Linked DNA regions of Canis lupus familiaris. The protein of the gene in region 1 purifies or fractionates together with the protein of each later gene. This does not show direct contact. Links are inferred from orthologs where the notes say so. Each region holds a gene or a part of one and is shown in the gene's direction. Other genes may lie near its edges.

Region 1 (3,647 bases):
CAAGCAAGGGCAGCCCCCGGTGGCGCAGCGGTTTGGCGCCGCCTGCAGCCCAGGGCGTGATTCTGGAGACCAGGGATGGAGTCCCACATCAGGCTCCCTGCATGGTGCCTGCTTCTCCCTCTGCCTGTGTCTCTGCCTCTCTCTCTCTCTAGCTGTGTCTCTATGAATAAATAAATAAAATCTTTAAAAAAATATTAAAAAAAAAAAAAAGCAAGCAAGCAGGGGTACCTGAGTGGCACAGTCAGATGCACATCTGACTTGGTTTCAGCTCAGGTCGTGATCTCAGACTCATGAGATCAAGCTCTGCATCAAACCCCATGTCAGACTCCGGGCTCTTCACATTCCTCCCAGAGTCTGCTTGGAATTCTCTCTCCCTCTGCCCCCCACCCCCATATGCACATGTTCTCTCTCTCTCTCTCTCTCTCTCTCTCAAGTAAATACATTTTTTAAAAAAAAGCAAAGATCAACAAAAAAATACAACAAAATTCCAACCTCTATAAATGAATGAATGAATGAATGAATGAATCTAGCTCCTTCATCGTTCTGCCAACCAGAAAAAGAACAGAAAGCAGGACACAAAAGAAATCAAAAAGTTAATTACACTTTTAAAAAAGCTCAGAAAGCCCAAAAATATTTAGACTAAGAAAAAAAAAAAAAAGAAATCAATGCTCTATTTGTGGTGCACAGATTAGTGAGGTACAGGACTTTTTATATTCCCAGGCAGGCTGGTGTTAAGAGTGTTTCCCCTTATTGATAGATGATCAGTTCCTCTGGACCTCTGCTTTCCTAGTCCAGGGCTGGAGGCCTAAACATCTAGAATTGAAACATGACCATTTCCAGTCTTAGCAAAGTATCTAGGAAAAGACAGAGAATGTTATCTGAATGAAACCATGTATTTGTAGACAACATAGTTAAAAGAACATGGAGTTCAGTGTATCTGGGATTGAATTTTTTGCCCTGTTACTTATTGTGTACCCTTACATAATTAACTTCTGTAAATTTAACTTATAGAACTTATTTAAATGTATTTCTTCATCTGCAAAATGAAGATATACTTACTTCAGACTGTTGCTGTGAAAATTAATAAAATAATGTATTAAAGCTCCTAATATAGAAGTTCCTGACAGGGGCACCTGGGTGATTCAGTCAGTTAAGCATCTGCTTTTGGCTCAGGTCTTGATCCTGGGGTCCTGGAATCAAGCCCCATATTGGGCTCTCTGCTCAGCAGAGTCTGCTTCTCACTCTCCCCCTCCTCCTGGTCATGTTTGTGAGCTCTCTCTCCCACTCTCTCTCTGAAATAAATAAAATCTTAAAAAGAAAAGTCTCCTGGCACATGGCAGGTGCTCAGTTAATGGTAATTTATTATTATTTTTAATCGTAATTTATTATTAATAACAAATGTACATTGTCTTTACAAAAGCGTTTGCTATAGAAAAATTATTGTATATTATGAATTTAAATTTTAATTGTAATGAGTTAATATTTGGTAGTAAGGCCCTTCCAAAGGTGTTGAAATTTTAAGCCAGCACCATGGGAAATCTGGAAAATTTTGGAAGTTCTTTGGGAATGATGAACAAAACTGCCATCCTCTACTTGGTGGCATAATTATCTATAGCAGAGAGGTGAACCTTGTAATTAGTTTTAGAAGAGAATATATATATCAAATTTTTGGTCATAACATGCTTTCTCTTAGTTGCATGAACTTATACAGGATGTGCAGAGAGACTAGTGATCTGAGAATTAGGATGCTCATGATAAATGTATTTTTCTTTTAAATAAATCTTTCCCCCCCTCTTCCCAGCTGCTCAGATAAAGAATTTGATGAGCCAACTAGGAACTAAGCAGGACTCAAGCAAACTACAGGAAAATCTGTGAGTAGCTTCCTAACATGGTTGCGTTCTATGAGGGCCCTTTGAGGACACACCTACTATCTTTGCTGTGTGGCAGCTTGGGTTTCCAGCCTGTGTAGTCAGAATGACAGGCAGTAGGCCATGCAGTAGGCCATGAAGTAATAGCTGGATCTAGAAGAGGGGCAACAAAATATATTCATGGGTTGTGATCTCTGCTGCCTTTCAAAATCCTTGAGCTCAGATTCTTTCTTCCCATGGGCAATTTAGCAGAACACTTTGAGGAAGTAGAGAAGGGAACTCCTACCACTATGAAACTGTATTCTGCCTAAATGAGCCTCCTTGTTGGCACAGGACTCTAGATGATCTGCAGACAACATCTAGTCTAGTGGGATTTCCAACTGTAAATATTAGCGAAACGTATTCAGAATGACATGAGGGGTGTCGGAGGGAGAGGAGAGTGGACTGGTAGTAGGGACTCATAATTCTTTTTATTAGATCCTTCTTGACCCCATTTCTGCTTTTAGAAGTTCTATTCTTCATCTTTAAAGTATCTTGAATGGTATTGTTTCCTGTCCTAGACAGTGTGAAGTGAGAGAATGACTTACTACTTGGGGTTTTTTCCAGGGATATGTGAAAAACCTTTGGATGTGTTAGTAATTTCTGGGAGGTACAGGTCCCTGATTGATTCCCTCTTGTTTTTGACTACCCCCTCCCCCCCTTTTTTTTTAATCTGGGAGGCCTCTTTGCAGTGGAAAAATAATAATGATTAAGTAGTAGTTTCTCTGTCCTCTTTTTAAAACCTTTGTAGAAATGGCCACAGAGTGGAGGAAACCATGACTAAAAGGGGCTCTTTTGTGTTTCCACTACTTTCCAGTCCCACTGAATATAATGCATATTCTTCCCTCTTTCATTTTCTTCCCCTTATACTCCTTACGTGTTTTTACACAGTACAGGGCTTCTTTGTTTTGGAGGGAAGAGCCAGAAAGTCAAGCATGAAGGACGATAGGGAGCCAAGAATAAAGCTGAAAAAGCTCCAGCTTTAAGCAAGAATGTGGGAGTAGATCTTTGGAGGCTGTTCTCTAGGGTAGAAGCTGTGCTTTTAATGCACATTTCATCCAACTCCCAGTGTCTGGATTCTGTCTCTAGTCAGTGGCCTGTGACAGACAGCAGCTATGCAGCACTGCCAGGCAATTCTACATGAGTTTTGTGAGACCTCAGTGTGTTCAAACTATTAGATTTAGATGTGGGGGCAGTTGTTCTTATATTTCTAACAGAATGGCCAATAGGCATTTCTTTTCTCCCCAAGGTTAAAATACCTAATCAGCAGATTTCCACTGAGGCAGGTTCTTTCTGCTGAGTAACATGAAGTGGGTTTGACGGAGTAGTATTTCTAGAATTTCTTTTTGTGAACCTGTGCCTCTGGGAACCCATTCCTTGAGGTACCCCTTTTATTCCTTGCACTGTGAGGCACTCTGAGAACAAGCTGGTACTAACTGTAACAGCTCTCTAGCAGTGGGGATATCCTGAAACATGTCTTTTCTCTCTTAGGCAACAGTTACAGCACTCTACAAATCAGCTCGCCAAGGAAACAAATGAATTACTGAAGGAATTAGGGTCTTTGCCTCTTCCCTTATCTGCTTCAGAACAGGTTGGTATTTTCTGGTGTGTGTGTGTGTGTGTGTGTGAGAGAGAGAGAGAGAGAGAGAGAGAGAGAGAGAGAGAGAGAGGACTTTGTTTTAATGGGAAGGCAATGTGTGAAACAAAAATAACTTGGTCTTTGGTGCTAGGTAGACCTTT
Region 2 (3,747 bases), on another chromosome or scaffold:
AGACTTCCTGCAGGGAGCCCAATGTGGAACTTGATTCCAGAGCCCAGGATCACACCCTCAGCTGAGGGCAGACGCTCAACCGCTGAGCCACCCAGGCATTCCTGTAACCCTAATTTCTATTCTGGAAATCCTCCTCCATGTCTTTATGCTCTCCTCAGACATCCTACTTTGTTTCTTGGCACCTATCCTATGTCCCTACCCACCACTGCACTTAGCATCTGGAATCATTAATAATAGTAATCATAATAGCCACCATTTACTGAGGGTTGTTTCAGTGCCAGGCATAGATGGTGAGGTAACTGAGGTTTATAGATGTCACATCAGTCTGTCCAAGGTCACATGAATATTAATGCATAGATCAGTGTGTCTTATAATGGAAATATAATTTGAGCCACATTTGTAATTTTTAATTTTCTACTCATCAAATTAAAAGAAACAGGTGAAATGAGCATTAACAATTTTTAAAATTTAACTCAATAAATCCACAACATCATTTCAACATGTTATCAGTATCAGTTAAGTGTCTGCCTTCAGCTCAGGGCATGATCCTGGGGTCCTGGGATTGAGCCTGGATTGTGCTCCCGGCTTCTCCCTTTCCCTCTGCCCTTTCCCCTGCCTCATGCTCTTTCTCTCAAGTAAGTAAATTAAAAAAAAAAAAGTCTTTGAAATACTTGGGGTGCCTGGATGGCTCAGTGGGTTGAGCATCCCACTCTTGATTTCAGCTCAGATCACTGATCTCAGGGTTTTGAGACTGAGCCCAGTGCAGGGTTCCATACTCAGAGAGCAGTCTACTTGAGATTCTCTCTCCTTCTGCCTCTGCCCTTCCCCTCCTGATGTATGTGTGCCTGTGCTCTCTCTCTCAAATGAATAAATAGATAAATCTTTTAAAAAAAGAAATACTGTGTGTACTCTTACATCACTTCTCAATTCAGACTAGCCACAGTTTAAGTGCTCAGCAGCCATATATGGTCAGTGGCTATGGTAATGGACAGCATAAGTACAGATCAAGGATTCTGACCCATCTCCACTTGACCTCTTTATAGATTTTCTTTTTTTTTTTTTTTCTTCTTTATAGATTTTCTAAGGATGATGAGAAGTGAGACAGCCACATTCTCTGTGAAAGTAGGCTGGTACTGTCCATCAAATTTCAGATTTGCAAAATATAATAATCTTATTTAATTGGAGATAAGATTTCATTATAAAGTAGAATAAAGTATCTCAAAACAGAGGTCCAGAAATTGTCATTTCCTTTAACAAAATATGTGTTAGAGAAACTGACATTTCTCTCTTAGAACTAATAATACTAAAAAAAAAAAAAAAAAAAAAAGAACTAATAATACTTCTGGGATGGGACAGGAATGTTTGTTCTCTTTTGCCTGTCCCTGTTTTTGTTCTGTCTTGATAAATACCATCTGGGAAGACTAGATATTCTGTGGCCTGGAACCAGGTGGTGGAAAAATCCTTTGCCTGGGGCCCTTCTCTTGTCCATAGGGCAGGCCTCTGACCATTTCTGAGTAGGCTCACCAACCCCTCAAAGCGGCTTCTGAAGGAAATGTTGAACTCTGGAAGGGAAGAAGGGATTGGTAAGCCATCATTCCCTCGTCCCAACAGTGGACAGGTCTTCCTTTCAGAAACTGTGGCAGGCACACTGAGTGTGCTATCCTGTTATACGTCCCCACCATCCTCTGAGGTCAGCATTAGCACCTGCCAAAACCAGAGAGGTGAAGAATTTCACTCAGGGTCACACTAGTAATCCGGAGCTTTCTGACACCACAGCCTAGGATTACAGCACTCCAGACTTGGGGGGATTTTAATACTTTCTGTCCACCCCTGAACATGGGAACAGGGGTTGCTAGCAAGAAACTTTCATATCTGTGTTCTGTTTCCATGTGAACTACCCCTGGTGGTGTACTTAGAGTTGACTTCAGTGTTTAAGATTTGGAGTCAGATATTCAGGACATTAAAAAAAAGGGGGGGGGGCGGAGCCAGCTTCCCTATCTATATCAGGAGGTCCAGCCTCAGGAAACCTAGGAGGGCTGCTTGATCTTCTTTTTCTTTTTCTTTTTTTTTTTTCTGGTTCTGATGCGTTAGAAGATCTCTGGTGATCGAGCCCTGTTGCTTTAAGCCCGAGCCCAGGTTTGGGAGGAGACTGGGAGGGCAGCGGAGGGCGCCCGCCTACCTGCCGGCCCGCGCTAGGTGAGGCTGGAGCCGCTCGGGATGCCGGCGGGCGGGGGCAGGCTCGAAGTTGGAGCGAGCAGGAAGTGAAGCGAGGGCCGCCCGGGAGGAAACAGACGAGGGAGTCTCGCCGCCGCCAGGCCCGAGCCGCTTGGAGACATGGTGAGCGCGCTGGGAGCTCGCGAGGGGCTGAGCGAAAGGCGAGCGGGGGCTGGGGGCGGGGGGCTGGGGGCGGGGGTCGCAGGGCCGCTGGCCAAGTCGGAGGGCTGGCCCGGTGCAGCCGGTGGCCGCTCTCCTTTGACAACTTGGCTGCCCGGGCGGCTGCCCCCGCGCCTTCTCCCTCCCCTGCCCTCGGAGCTGGCCCGGAGCGGGGCTCCGGTGGGGGTGGAGGCTCCGAATTCCAGGCCGGGAGCCGCTGAGAGGCCCTTCCTGGCCTCCTCCGGCCCGCCGGGCGCCGAGCCCGGTGACCCCCCTTGGGCAGCGCCTCCGAAGTTCCCAGGGCGGATTCCAGCCCAGCGGCGGGAGCCCTCCCCGTCGGCCCTTCCCTTTATCCTGTCGAGAAACTCCAAGAATCCGTCTCTCTCTGCCCGGCCTAAGGAATCGGGCCCCTCTCTTTAAACACGGAGAAGAAGGCGAAGGGTTTGTAAAAGAACCAGAAGTTGGTTCTCTGTGACAATCCGTCTAGTTTGGACCGGCTCCTGGCCTGTTTCGGAGGTCTAGGGGGTCAGGGAGGGAGGAGCCTAGTAATGGTTTGCCCTCCCTGTTCAAAAACTTTATCAGCCAGGGAGGACTTGCCCTCCATTTCCCTCAACAGCCAGTCTGCTGTTTTTATTTAATATCTGCTTAAGGAGGCAGTGGCAGCTTGGTTGGTGCCGGCACATGGGGCAGTGTGTTGGGGGAAAGCAGAAGTTTATGGCGCAATGGCTCTCCCTCTTGGGGCCTGGCCAGGGCCTTGGAACCCGGTGGCTGTTGCTCTGGGTCACAGCAATTAGGCAGCTCCGGAGGTCTGGGGAAGTCTGGGGCGGGAGCAGCTCTCCAGCTGCTGTCCAGCAGTGAGGGGGGTGTTGTGGCAGCTGAGGGTGTTCTGCTGGCCAGCACAGATATTTTCAATGAGGATCCTTCGGTTAATAGTGGTGGGTTTCCCCCTTGTGAGATGCCAGCTCAGCAGTTCTCTGCCCCCATCTGAGGAGCAAGGCAACAGTGGAGTGGGATTTAGGGTCTGTGTTTCTTTTCCTCCTCAGGGGCCCTGAGAACCTGAAAAGAAACTGGATCTAGTCTGTCTAGCATCAGCACTCACCTTCTGGGGCTTAAAAGTGCATTTGTTTTTGATCACATGAGTAATACATGAAAACATTCTTTGTAAACAGTTCAAGCATTAAAAAAAAGCTAAAGTCCACCTTAGGCCTTCCCCTCCCCTGGCCTCTGAGGCTGAGTCTCAGTTCCTCCACCACTTCGCCTAATTAACCCCTGCGTTGCTGCCCAGGAGGAGGCCAGTGGAGGTGTTGGAAATGATCGTGTGCGGAACCTGCAGAGTGAGGTGGAGGGAGTCAAGAATATTATGACCCAGAATGT
Region 3 (3,747 bases), on another chromosome or scaffold:
TGGAGACCCGGGATCGAGTCCTGCATTGGGCTCCCTGCATAGAGCTGGCTTCTCCCTCTGCCTGTGTCTCTGCCTCTCTCTCTCACTCTGTGTCTGTCATGAATAAATAAATAAAATCTGCCTCTGCTTCTCTCTCTGTCTCTCACGAATAAGTAAATTTTAAAAATATTTTTTTAAAAAATAGAAATTACCCAATTTGAACAACAGAAAACAGACTGAAAAAAAAAATTAGTAGAGCCTCAGGGATATGTACGACTCTAACAAAAGATCTAGCATTCATGTCATCAGAATCCCAGAGGGAGAGGAAAAAGAGTAAGGGACAGAAAAAGTTTTAGAAGAAACAATGGCTGAAAATTCCCCAAATTTGGCAAATGACATAAACCTAAGAGTCAAGAAGCTGAGCAAATCCCAAACCGGATAAAACCAAAGAAATCCACATTAAGACACATCTTAATCAACTTTCCGGAAAGTAAAGAAAAAATCTGGAAAGCAGTACTTAGCTATAGTAGAAAAACAATTCAAAAAACAGCCAATTTCTCATCAGAACCGTGGAGGCCAGGAGGAATTGGGCACGTTTTTCAAGTGCTAAAGGAAAAAAAAAAATTGTGAACCTCAGATTCTACATCTGGCAACGGTATCTTTCAGGAATTAAGGGGAAATCAAGACATTATCAGATGAAGGAAAACGAGTCGAATTTGTCTCCAGCTGACCTACTCTTTAGAAACGGCTAAAGGAAGTTGTTGAAACAGAAGGGCAATGATACAAGAAGGAATCCTGGAACATCGGGAGGCAAGAAAGAAAAATGTTAAGAGTAAAGTATGGATAAATGCAGTCCACTTTCCTTCTGCTTTTGAGTTCTATAAATCATGTTTGGCAGTTGAAGCAAAAATTGTAACGTTATGTGGTGTGGTTCTCAATGAATGTAGAGGAAATCTTAAAGAGTCGTAAGTGGGAGTGGGTGAAGGGACAGGTGTGATTTAAACACCTCTGTGGGACGTAACTTTTCTACATTTCACTAGAACTGGTAAAATGCGGACACAAGCCAACTGCGATGATTTGTGTGTCTTTCGGGGCGGCTTTGGACGGCTGATTCCGACAGGTTGAGGGGGCCGGACGAGGTACACGGACGCAGTCGGCCGGGTAGGCCGCACACCTGCCAGAGCCCGAGGGATGCTGGAGCACCCGCGGAGGAGGCCGGAAGAAAGGGCTCGTCTTGGGAAGAAAAGAGCCTGCGGCGCCGAGAAGGGAAAGCGGTTGGCTGAACACTGGCGATGACTTTCTTCTCCGCCACGCTGGCTCCTGCTGAGAGAGGGGGTAAGCTGACCTGAGGGCGATGATGCGGGTTTGGGGCGCCGGAGAGGGCAGGAGCAGCACCAGGACAGACACTCAGGTAGTGTCTGGGATTAAAACTGGTTTCCAGCCCCATTGCTGAAGAGCTGTGAAACGATTAGTTGGCCGCCGGGGGGCGGTGTCCGTGGAAACTGACGTATCCCGTCGGCCCTGGCGCCGGGGCGGAAGAAGGTGCGGAAGTGATTCTCTGGCTCGCCTCGTCTCTACTCTCCTATCCCGACTGACGTTGGACAACAAAGATGGCTGCAGGAACCAGCAATTACTGGGAAGGTGAGGGCGAGGCTTCCGTGTGGGTCTCACCAAGAGGTAGAAGGGCTGGGTAAGGACGGGTCTTGGGGGAGGCGGCAGAGGAAAGAGCCCGGCCTCCGGAGCGGCCGAGCTGACGGGTGAGGCTTCTCTAGTGGGAGCCCCTGGCCTGGGGGCTGAAGAGCCCGAACGGTCTGGGGCAGGGGGGCTGAGCCGAGAGGCAGCGAGACTTGGGACAGAGGTGGGCGGAAGGAGCTGGGCGGGGAAGGAAGGTCCTGAGTCCCTGGGGGAGAGCGGAGTTGAGGGGCCAGGCGAACTTGGACGAAGGGGCTTGGGGGACGAACTCTGAGAGGAGACGAGTTTTGAGCGAGAATATCCCGACCCCAGGAGGCTGGAAGAGTCAGCGTTTTAAGAGTTGAGGTCACTGTTGGACAGCGGAGTAGGATAAGGGGAAGAAGGAACTTGTCAGTCCGGTCCATCGAGGGAAGTTCTATGGACGGAGTGTCTCCTCCTCGGTCCCTTTGGCAGGACTGAGGGCTGGGACTTCGAGGATTGGGTTTGGAGACTTCGAGTCGCGGTTTGGAGACTGAGGAAATAATTACCCTCTGCCGTGGAGATGGGTTTTATTAAAAAGCGAAAGTTGAGAGAACCAGTGTGAATTGCGGTGATTGCATTTGCTATATACCTCTTTAGCACCCCCCCCCCAAAAAAAAAAAAACCTGTCTTGTGATTTGACAAGTACGTTTATTGAATTAATGAAAATATGTTCCGATAGAGTGGGCTGTTATAAAATTCCCTCCTGGACCATGATGACGACCGAGGGTCAGAGAAGGCTCATCTGTTTCTTTCCATTGTCTCTCTGCTCTATTACAATGGGAGCTACTCTCCGAAGCCTCTTGGAAACCACAAGTAACAGTACTGTCCCCAGCAGCCAGTTAGTTGGTCTAGGAGCTTAGTTCGAAGTTCGTCCGTATTTGCCTTATTACACTTTCAGAATGCTTTGTATTGTTTTGGTTTGGTTTTTGGATGTTTTCTACTAGGGAGGACAGTTCTAGTTGCAGAGAAGCATGATTATAGTTTAAAACATGTATTTAAATGCCTATTTGAAATGTGTGTGCTAGATAGAAAATATTTTTAAGTTCTGTAGAAGCGGCTATTGGTATCCTTAATACTAGTCGTTAGGCTATAGTTTTTTGAAGCGCCATGTTGTGATAATTACAGCAGCTTGTTGTTGACATCCTACTCTGTGCCGAGGGCTTTAAGCACATGGTTACTAATGCATAGAAAAACCCTGAAGGTAGGGTCCTGGGATGGAGCCCTGCTTGGGCTGCTAGCTCAGCAGGAGTCTGCTTGAGGATTTCTGTCCCCCCCCCCCCCCCGCCCCTTGCTCATGCTCACTGTCTCTCTCTCAAATAAATAAATCCCTGGGTGGCTCAGTGGTTTGGTGCCTCCCTTCAGCCCAGAGCGTGATCTTGGAGTCCCCGGATCGAGTCCCACATCGGGCTCCCTGCATGGAGCCTGCTTCTCCCTCCGCCTGTGTCTCTGCCTCTCTCTCTCTCTCTCTCTGTCTCTCATGAATAAGTAAATTCTTTAAAAATAAATAAATAAATCCTAAAAACAAAACAAAAAGTGAAGGTTCATTGGTTCAGTAGATTTTCAATAAATCTCAGAGCCAAGTTCTCAAAATCTCAGGATGTTAGGATGGGATAAGATGCGGAGACTTGGTCTCTGGCAAAATATGTTCCACTGTGTTCTACTGCTTCCTACTTCTGGTTGCTGATAAATATATTGAAGTAATGTTTTGTAATCCTTATTCCTGAAAGATGAGGTCCTTATAATATTTCTTTATATATTTCAGCCCTTGTATTTTGAGGCCCACTTTACCATGAATGAAAGTATTCACATCTAGGGATCCCTGGGTGGCGCAGTGGTTTGGCGCCTGCCTTTGGCCCAGGGCGCGATCCTGGAGACCTGGGATCGAATCCCACGTCGGGCTCCCGGTGCATGGAGCCTGCTTCTCCCTCTGCCTATGTCTCTGCCTCTCTCTCTCTCCCTCTCTGTGACTATCATAAAATAAATAAAAATTAAAAAAAAAAAAAAAAGAAAGAAAAAAGAAAGTACTCACATCTAGATGTGGGTTTCCTGACTGGA

Evidence for each region.
Region 2: the proteins of STX12 (region 1) and VAMP8 purify together in Homo sapiens (affinity purification with mass spectrometry; 3 studies listed by BioGRID and IntAct, counting the BioPlex papers as one, with this or other methods). This does not show direct contact. The link is inferred for Canis lupus familiaris from reciprocal best matches to the Homo sapiens genes STX12 and VAMP8.
Region 3: the proteins of STX12 (region 1) and GOSR1 purify together in Homo sapiens (affinity purification with mass spectrometry; 3 studies listed by BioGRID and IntAct, counting the BioPlex papers as one, with this or other methods). This does not show direct contact. The link is inferred for Canis lupus familiaris from reciprocal best matches to the Homo sapiens genes STX12 and GOSR1.

What each region holds. Positions count from the first base shown.
Region 1 is NC_049223.1:71,961,017-71,964,663, reverse strand, and holds part of STX12 (syntaxin-12), read left to right. Parts: intron 1-1,801; coding exon 1,802-1,871; intron 1,872-3,398; coding exon 3,399-3,498; intron 3,499-3,647. UniProt on the Homo sapiens protein: SNARE promoting fusion of transport vesicles with target membranes. Together with SNARE STX6, promotes movement of vesicles from endosomes to the cell membrane, and may therefore function in the endocytic recycling pathway.
Region 2 is NC_049238.1:39,847,252-39,850,998, reverse strand, and holds the start of VAMP8 (vesicle-associated membrane protein 8), read left to right. Parts: upstream 1-1,452; 5' UTR 1,453-1,583; intron 1,584-2,091; 5' UTR 2,092-2,334; coding exon 2,335-2,337; intron 2,338-3,658; coding exon 3,659-3,747. UniProt on the Homo sapiens protein: SNAREs, soluble N-ethylmaleimide-sensitive factor-attachment protein receptors, are essential proteins for fusion of cellular membranes.
Region 3 is NC_049230.1:44,447,548-44,451,294, forward strand, and holds the start of GOSR1 (Golgi SNAP receptor complex member 1), read left to right. Parts: upstream 1-1,462; 5' UTR 1,463-1,589; coding exon 1,590-1,620; intron 1,621-3,747. UniProt on the Homo sapiens protein: Involved in transport from the ER to the Golgi apparatus as well as in intra-Golgi transport. It belongs to a super-family of proteins called t-SNAREs or soluble NSF (N-ethylmaleimide-sensitive factor) attachment protein receptor.